2 linked regions of the Bombyx mori genome follow. The protein of the gene in region 1 interacts with the protein of each later gene in a pairwise test. Links are inferred from orthologs where the notes say so. Each region holds a gene or a part of one and is shown on either strand. Other genes may lie near its edges. The genes, in order: disks large 1 tumor suppressor protein and ATPase family AAA domain-containing protein 3A homolog.

Region 1 (3,827 bases):
TCTCGGTGCTTTTAGGCTCTCCAAGCAACAGGCATCGTCGTCGGCTAACTAGCCCATAGACACAAGCCACTGAAAATCTCTCCGGACCTTCTCAGTGGACCGCGATTCCAATTCGGTGGTAGATTCAGCGAAGTACTACTCTTGATAGGGTCAATGTTAGCAATTCTTGCGGGTTGAGCCCGTGAAGATCACGTACCGGTCCACGCGTAATTGGAATAGTCTCTTAAGCTACAAACGATTGGGTAGGAAAAAATGCAATCATTCCAAGAACACGTTAAATAATAGTGTGTATAGTGAGATGGAGAAAGTTTAAAACAATTAATGTTTTAATTGAAAAAATTCGAAATGGGCCACAATAGCAGTATATTGAACTATTGATCATGCAAAAATATGCATACTAGTGCAGTTTTCCTAGACTTATCTATCTTGAGTACTAGTTGCATGATACCAGTCCTGTTTTTTTCTGGTGTATAGTAATCACGCGTTTTTTTTTTACAGCTTGGATGGGTGGACGAGCTCACGGACCACCTGGTGTTAAGTGGTTACTGAGGCCCATAGACATCTATAATGTAATGCAAATGCGCCACCCACCTTGAGATATCAGTTCTAAGGTCTCAGTATAGTTACAACAGCTACCCCGCTCTTCAAACCGAAACGCATTACTGCTTCACGGCAGAAATAGGCAGGGTGGTGGTACCTACCCCTGCGGACTCGCAAGAGGTCCTACCACCAGTACCTGATGTCTTGATGTGGGCAGCGACGTTTACCTTATGTCTATGAATAAGACATGGACGGAACAGTACCTTCAGGGCTTTGGCGGCCTGTTCGTGTGTGGCGTGCGATATGTCAAGATCGTTGACTGCGAGCAGACGGTCTCCTCTCCGTAGAGCGCCGGACCTCTCCGCAGGTCCGCCGGCCAACAGGAAAGAAACGTAGATGCCGTGCCCGTCTTCGCCACCGACGATGTTGAACCCCAGGCCCGAGGGACCTTTCTCCAGCTCCACCACGCGTACCTCCTCGCCGCCGTCCGTTGCGTCTTCGCGTCGGAGAGAATTTGCTGCGCTCGACGCTGTTTTTATTTTTATTATTAAATTCCTTGTTAAATGTGTACATTTTTTTTACAATGTCTAAAACTTAAAATGAGTCGACTATTATCAAAGCCGGCAATCTGACTTTTGGACAATGATTGGTAAATCAGAAAAACGAATTATTGACTTTGTATTCCATTGGCTGTCACAAAACTCTTCGGAACGAAATCTAAGATAAATAACAGGTTAACTATTAACCTTTATTTAGTGAAGGTTTTGAACCGTATTCTTTGAAGGATACGATTATATTCAAATCAATCTGTATTGACATATCAATAAAAATATTTTGTCCAAATTTTAATGCACAGATTGCCACCTTTGATAATAGACGACTCAAATAGTTTATTTATTAAAAAAAATTGTTACTGTGGTGCCAATCGTAACCAGTTAATTATAGCTGAATAAGTAAATCAATCGTGTCCGATGTTTGATAGATTTTTAATATTTATATCGTTAGATTATATAGGTACTAATAGTAATTTAATGATGTCTTACGTGTGTTAGCTCGAGAAGTGCGCGGCGAGGGTTGTCCGTGTCTCGGCCCTGGTACCAAAACTAGCAACACGCGTTCTCCTGTTGCCTTTAGAGCGGCCACGGCATCCTCGTGTGTCACGTTATCCAAATTGACATCTCCGTTCTGTTTATTTATTTCCAATATTATAATCGACAACAATAATTAGATGTGTTGTTTTTTATTTAACTGGTGGTAGGACCACTTGTGAGTCCGCGCGAGTAGGTACCACCACCCTACCTATTTCTACCGTGAAGCAGTAATGCGTTTCGGTTTGAAGGGTGGGGTAGCCGTTGTAACTATACTTGAGATCTTAGAACTTATATCTCAAGGTGGGTGGCGCATTTACGTTGTAGATGTCTACGGGCTCCAGTAACAACTTAACACCAGGTGGGCTTTGAGCTCGTCCCCCCATATAAGCAATAAAAAAAAAATGCAGTTTAATAAAACAGGCTGGATTACTTACAGAAGTGTTTTTGACCATAAGCAATTTATCACCAACTCTTAAACGTCCATCTTGATGCGCAGCGCCGCCGGCCATGATTTTGGTAACGTAAATGCCGTTGTCACCGGGTATGTGTTGGTTACCGAGTCCGCCTGCTATACTGAAGCCCAAGCCAGAGCCACCTTTTATAAGTTCTATTTCCACAGATTCCTCTTTGTTTGACACTTGTGACACGTTTAGGGTATCTTCTATAGCTCGACGTCGCACTTTCTGTAAATTGTAAGCAGTGTAAATACCTATGTATTCACGTAATTAATCATCAATAAAGAAACACATAAAAGCTATAATAAACAATAATTTTAATTTTCAAAAATATTTTTAAGTATATGAATGTTCATTTGAAGTATTCAGAAATGCAATACAGGTGCAAGAATTTAATGATATGAAATTCCTTGTGAATGATGACGTGTCATTAACGTTTTTATGATTTACTGGATTTTTTTAAGTGGGAAACATTGCAGTTAGTCTGCAGCCCTTTTTAGGGCCTGTGCACACCACGTATTTTAAACGCGCCGTCGACGCTCTTTCGTAGCGATACAGGCGCGATACGCACGCAAGTCAGACGCAGCCTGTAGACCTTTGCACACCTGTATAAATTAAAATAGACGTTTGAATCGATACAGACGCGATGCTAACGCGTGTTTGTATCGATACAGACGACAACAAACCGCTCTGTAGGATAAAAGCGCGCCGTCGACGCTCGTTTTGGAAACGCGCGCTTAAAAAACGTGGTGTGCACAGGCCCTTAGCTTCATCAGAACAGATGAAGATCGAAGGTTCAATCTGGAGGAAAACGTTTCCTGACACCTGCCTGACTGAATATATCAGAATACATAAGAATTCATACTACTTATAACATTCAAGGCATATGCTTAGGAAATTATTATGAATATTTCTGTACATTATTGTTCTGGTAGATGATATATTATTGCCATTTTAACTATGGGAACAGTTTGTATACAATGGTGGGACCAACCTGTCTGGCATTTTAATATACCCTATTACCACCACTGTATGTAAGAACAAGAATGTCCTTGGTCACAGAGGTCATTTCACAAGACCTGACCTGACCTTCATCAGTTGCCAGCAACAATTCTAGGAAGCTCATTTATGGAAACCGCTTTTCTTATCAATATGGTTCCGGCATAGCATTCATGTAGGTGATTTCTAAGAATAGGCATGATTCTAAGGTTAGTAATAATAATTACTTACCAATCTCACAGTACTACCAGCCTTTTTCAGTGCATCAACCGCTTCAGCATGTGTCACATTTTCTACATTCACATCATTCACCTATAAAAAGAACTTAAATTGGTCATTATTTTACTATTATACCTATGTCATAATAATTTGGCCAGCTTCTGCAGCAAAGCCGTTGTGTGTTCTTGTTTAAAAAGCAGTCATTAGTTTTTATTTCTACAAGGTAATGTATATATGAGTCGTCTATTATCAAAGGCGGCAATCTGTGCATTTGGACAAAAAAAATTTATTGATATGTCAATACAGATTTATTTGAATATAATCGTCTCCTTCAAAGAATACGGTTCAAAACCTGCATTAAATAAAGGTTAATAGTTAACCTGTTATTTATCTAAGATGTCGTTCCGAAGAGTTTTGTGACTGCCAATGGAATACAAAGTCAATAATTCGCTTTTCTGATTTACCAATCATTGTCCAAAAGTCAGATTGCCGCCTTTGATAATAGTCGACTCATATATGATAA
Region 2 (4,328 bases), on another chromosome or scaffold:
TTTTGTCCAATAACATTTCACAGACGTAGAAGATGGTTCTTTAGATCGTCGGTCCACCCACATAACTAGAGCTATAGTGTGCTTACAACCTCCCGGGCTGGCGGCACGATCTTCGCAACATACGCTTATAATCTGTTCAGTCTCTTCATTACATACAAATGCACAATGATATGGCTTGCTGTTAACTTTATGCTCTGGAGTTATTCTAGCTTTTACCGTGCATAGTTCGAGCGCGGAAGCTTTAATCTCGGCCTGCCATGCTCGAGGCGTGGTCTTGCCGCTTGGCGGACCCCGCCTACAGGCGACGGACCGTCGAGCGACCGGCGACGTCTCACCTTCCGAGCAACGCAGGTGCTCACGGGACACGGTTGTTTCGGTCGCTACCTGCACCTCGTTGCCCGGAGGGAGCCGACGCCGAAGTGCCATCATTGCAGTGGCTGCAACGAGGACACCGCGGAGCACACGGTCGCGTACTGCCCCGCTATCGCGGAGCGGCGCCTTGTCCTCCTTGCAAAAATAGGACCGGACTTGTCGCTTCCGACCGTCGTGGCTACGATGCTCGGCAGCGACGAGTCCTGGCAAGCGATGCTCGACTTCTGCGAGTCCACCATCCCGCAGGAGGCGGTGGAACGGGAGAGGGAGAGCTCATCTTCCCTCTCGGCGTCGTGCCGCCGCCGCCGAGCCGGGGTTCGGAGGAGGGCGTTTGTCCAGCTCCGGCCCCTATGAGGAGGCAGTCTCCTCCCGGTGATGGTCACGGGGCGACCTAAGGAGATTGAGGCTGCGCCGTACGTTACCGTCACTCTAGCGCGCTGGCACCAGGAGGACGGGGTGCGCGTCGGCGGCTGCGGACTGCGACGCGGTCCGCATTTTCGTCGTCGCTGTCGTCGCCGAACATACTGTGGAAGAGCAACCCGATCGGCGGTGTATCGCGCTCCGACCTGGCAGGCTGGTTCTGGCCCAGCGAGGTAACAATAGCGGCATCGCCCGGGCGGTCTGGCAGGGCCGCCGTACCGCGGAGACTGATGTCGTTGTTCGTCGACAATCGCCTCGACGACCCGTCGGTCGGGCGTCCTCGGGGTGGCGCCGCGTGTCTGGTTGTAGTGTTGACCGCGGGAACCCCCTACTCTGACCGGGTTTTGACCCCGGATGGAGATCGGACGTCAGGTGTAAGAGTGCAGGGGAGTCGTTTAGTGGGTGGGCCCTAAAATTCCTTGGGCCCGCGGTCTGCTCCCAACACCTTGCAGATCGTCAAGTCCCACATACCCCGCGCGCTCCCTAGGCGCGGAGAGAACGTAAGAGGTTCGGGCCTCGGCCCGAAAAAAAAAAGCTTTTACCGTGCATAGTTGGCCTTCTCTTTACACCTGCATATAGCCAATGGCGTCGTCACATTAGCTTTCTTGGGCAAATCTGTAAAACATTTTAATAACTTTATTAGATCTTCGATTCATTGATCCGTTAGTGAATACTTACCTTAAATCTAGATCTAGAGTACCTAAATAAATATTTTACTACAAATATTGATATCGATTTTATTGTTTGTTCAATATCTACGATGGGTCACCGAGTTGCCACCGGTCGGGCGGGTACGGTTCCAGGCGGTCAAGCTCACGAGAGATTTTTGTGCCGATTCGTAGTTTTGCTTATTTCTTTAAAAGGATAAAACGGTAAATAACAAACAGAAATCTATTTTAAGGTGTTTAATGGTACTATAATAGGTAGTTATACAAAATATTATAGTTGGATTGCACTGACTCATTTAGTACTAAGCGAGTTGAGGTATTGTATTTCCGTAGATAGTTTCTTACCAAAATACAAATAAAACGGTAATAAATAAGATGTAAAAGTACGGCGGATAAAAGATTAAGTAGGTAGGTATCTTATTTCTGCGCTTGTATAGAACGAATTTGAGTCAAAAAGTCTAAGCCCACATACACCACGTCTGAGATAGTAATGCGAGCGTAAAACACGAGTCTCCGTGCGGAGGTAATTATAGTTCGTCCAGTTTTAGTGCGTTCCGCCGTATTTTTTTACTATCTTTAATATTTTTTATTGTCTTTAAATTTATATAATTATTTTTTGTTTTTAAGCGATTGGAAACTTCCTCATTCTTTATATCAACAGAAGATATAAAAGATTAGGCTGTATGGTGTGATACCTTGGCCTTGTTTGTTGGAAAATAGAATTACTGCCTACTTTCAGTTTGACAGTTTGTGGTTTGACCACTCCGGCTGTCGTGCCTTCCATAGCCGCTACTCTACTAGATATCATCAGTTTTGTGAACAATCGTGTTTCTTATGAAAGTAGTTTACTAACACAACTTGAAAATTATTTACTGAAGTCACGATGTCGTGGCTATTTGGGTACAGTTCAAAACCTCCACAACCTCCTCCTTCGGACGATCCACCAGCCGATGGGGTTGGTGTTGCCGCACCTTCTACTAACCTTTCTAAATCAGAGAGGAAAGCCATGGAAGCCTACCGGTTTGATTCAAGTGCCCTAGAGCGAGCTGCATCGGCTGCAAAAGAGCTGGAACGATCAAGTAAGATATTTTATAACTTTTAATCACGTTGCGCGCTATTGCATAATGCCACCGCATAACCTTACATTTTAGAATGATTTTTAAGAACTACGGCAATTGATATGAATTCATTTAGTTTGATTGATGATGTACATCAAAGTATTAAAAGTGGATAGCCTAACAAAAGACTTCCGTTTTTATTTTCATATGTATCTTCCACTATACTCAGCCCTAAATTCACTGTGTATTTTAAACACTTATCGCAAAAATTAGCAAAGCGAAACAGGTATAAAATGCATGATAAGTTAAACAGTGAACAACTATTGAACTTAAATAACAATCTGATAGTCGTTTGTTTTATGGTGTATATCATTTTTGCATGTTGATCACTCCCTTATAATATATGAAAGTGTTTCTGCTGCTACTGCTTGCATCTATTTGATAAAGTACAGCATAATATGTTATTTGATTGGAATTACTCTTTTAGGACATGCAAAAGATGCTTTGGAGCTTAGTAAACTTCAGGAAAGTACTCGACAACAGGAGCAAATGGCCAAGATTAAGGAATATGAAGCAGCCATTGAACAAGCTAAAGTAGAACAAAAGAAAGTTGATTATGAAGAAAGACGAAAAACATTACAGGTTACTTTAATTTTATAGATCAGTCAAAGAGGTAAAAAGTTCATGAAGATGTTTCTTTTAGAGGCATTTAATAATAATAAATTCTCATCTGTTATAGGAAGAAACAAAACAGCACCAAATGAGAGCTCAATACCAAGATCAATTAGCTAAAAAACGTTACGAAGAACAACTTGTACAACAACAGAAATCTCAAGAAGAAATTCTCAGAAAGTAAGACAGTTGAAAGATAATTTGAGTATACTTTTCATTAGAATATAAAATACATTGATATCAATTAGATTAAAATCACAATATCAGTCCCCTAATATTATAAATTAACTAAACAACCTTTATTTTAGACAAGAAGAGAGTGTAGCAAAACAGGAAGCCTTAAGGAGAGCTACTATAGAACATGAAATGGAGCTGCGAGAGAAAAATAAATTGAGAGCAATAGAAGCAGAAGCTCGAGCCAAAGCGCAGGCTGACAGAGAAAATCGAGACATAAATCTTGAACAAATTAGACTAAAGGCTGCTGAGAACAGAGTTACTATTCTAGAAAGTATAAAGTGAGTTTATGAAATTGGATTTTAGATATCTTACCTCGTTAATTTTTGTATAACTTCACTTTTCCATACACTAACTTTATCATACAAACATTACACAATTGATTGTAATGTATTGTAATTATTGTATGTTAATAGGACAGCTGGGAGCGTAGTAGGTTCTGGTCTGAATGCATTAGTGACAGATTGGGATAAAACTTTAGCTGCTGCAGGGGGTTTGTCATTATTGGCACTTGGTGTTTATTCAGCAAAGGGAGCCACATCGGTTGCAGCTAGATTCATTGAGGCTCGCATTGGTAAAAAACATAAATTTCTATTTATTTTAATCATCTTTATGTAAAAAGTTATTATTCTTTCTAGTTTTTCATTCATTAGTATAATTGGCAGATAATTTTATTTAATACATATTATTATATTTATCATATTTATTATACATATTTAAATTAATGAATCTGATGTTGGTTGTGTCAGTTTGTACAAATATGAATTGGTTAATGTACCAAGAATTATTTAATAACTCAAATTTTCTTACTAAAGTAACTAATTGTATTTAAAAACAAAATGATAACACTTTACGTAAAAATGATTTTTAAACACATGACAGGATTGATATAGTTTGCAGTGTG

The links.
Region 2: the proteins of disks large 1 tumor suppressor protein (region 1) and ATPase family AAA domain-containing protein 3A homolog interact in a two-hybrid assay, tested with the Caenorhabditis elegans proteins (3 studies listed by BioGRID). The link is inferred for Bombyx mori from reciprocal best matches to the Caenorhabditis elegans genes dlg-1 and atad-3.

What each region holds. Positions count from the first base shown.
Region 1 is NC_085118.1:7,817,805-7,821,631, forward strand, and holds part of disks large 1 tumor suppressor protein, read right to left. Parts: intron 3,398-3,827; coding exon 3,317-3,397; intron 2,315-3,316; coding exon 2,066-2,314; intron 1,726-2,065; coding exon 1,584-1,725; intron 1,070-1,583; coding exon 804-1,069; intron 1-803. UniProt on the Caenorhabditis elegans protein: Essential multidomain scaffolding protein required for normal development. Recruits channels, receptors and signaling molecules to discrete plasma membrane domains in polarized cells. Required for proper embryonic elongation.
Region 2 is NC_085107.1:9,466,622-9,470,949, reverse strand, and holds the start of ATPase family AAA domain-containing protein 3A homolog, read left to right. Parts: upstream 1-1,510; 5' UTR 1,511-2,343; coding exon 2,344-2,539; intron 2,540-3,005; coding exon 3,006-3,160; intron 3,161-3,257; coding exon 3,258-3,370; intron 3,371-3,498; coding exon 3,499-3,705; intron 3,706-3,840; coding exon 3,841-3,998; intron 3,999-4,328. UniProt on the Caenorhabditis elegans protein: Essential for mitochondrial network organization, mitochondrial metabolism and cell growth at organism and cellular level. Important during development for the up-regulation of mitochondrial activity during the transition to higher larval stages.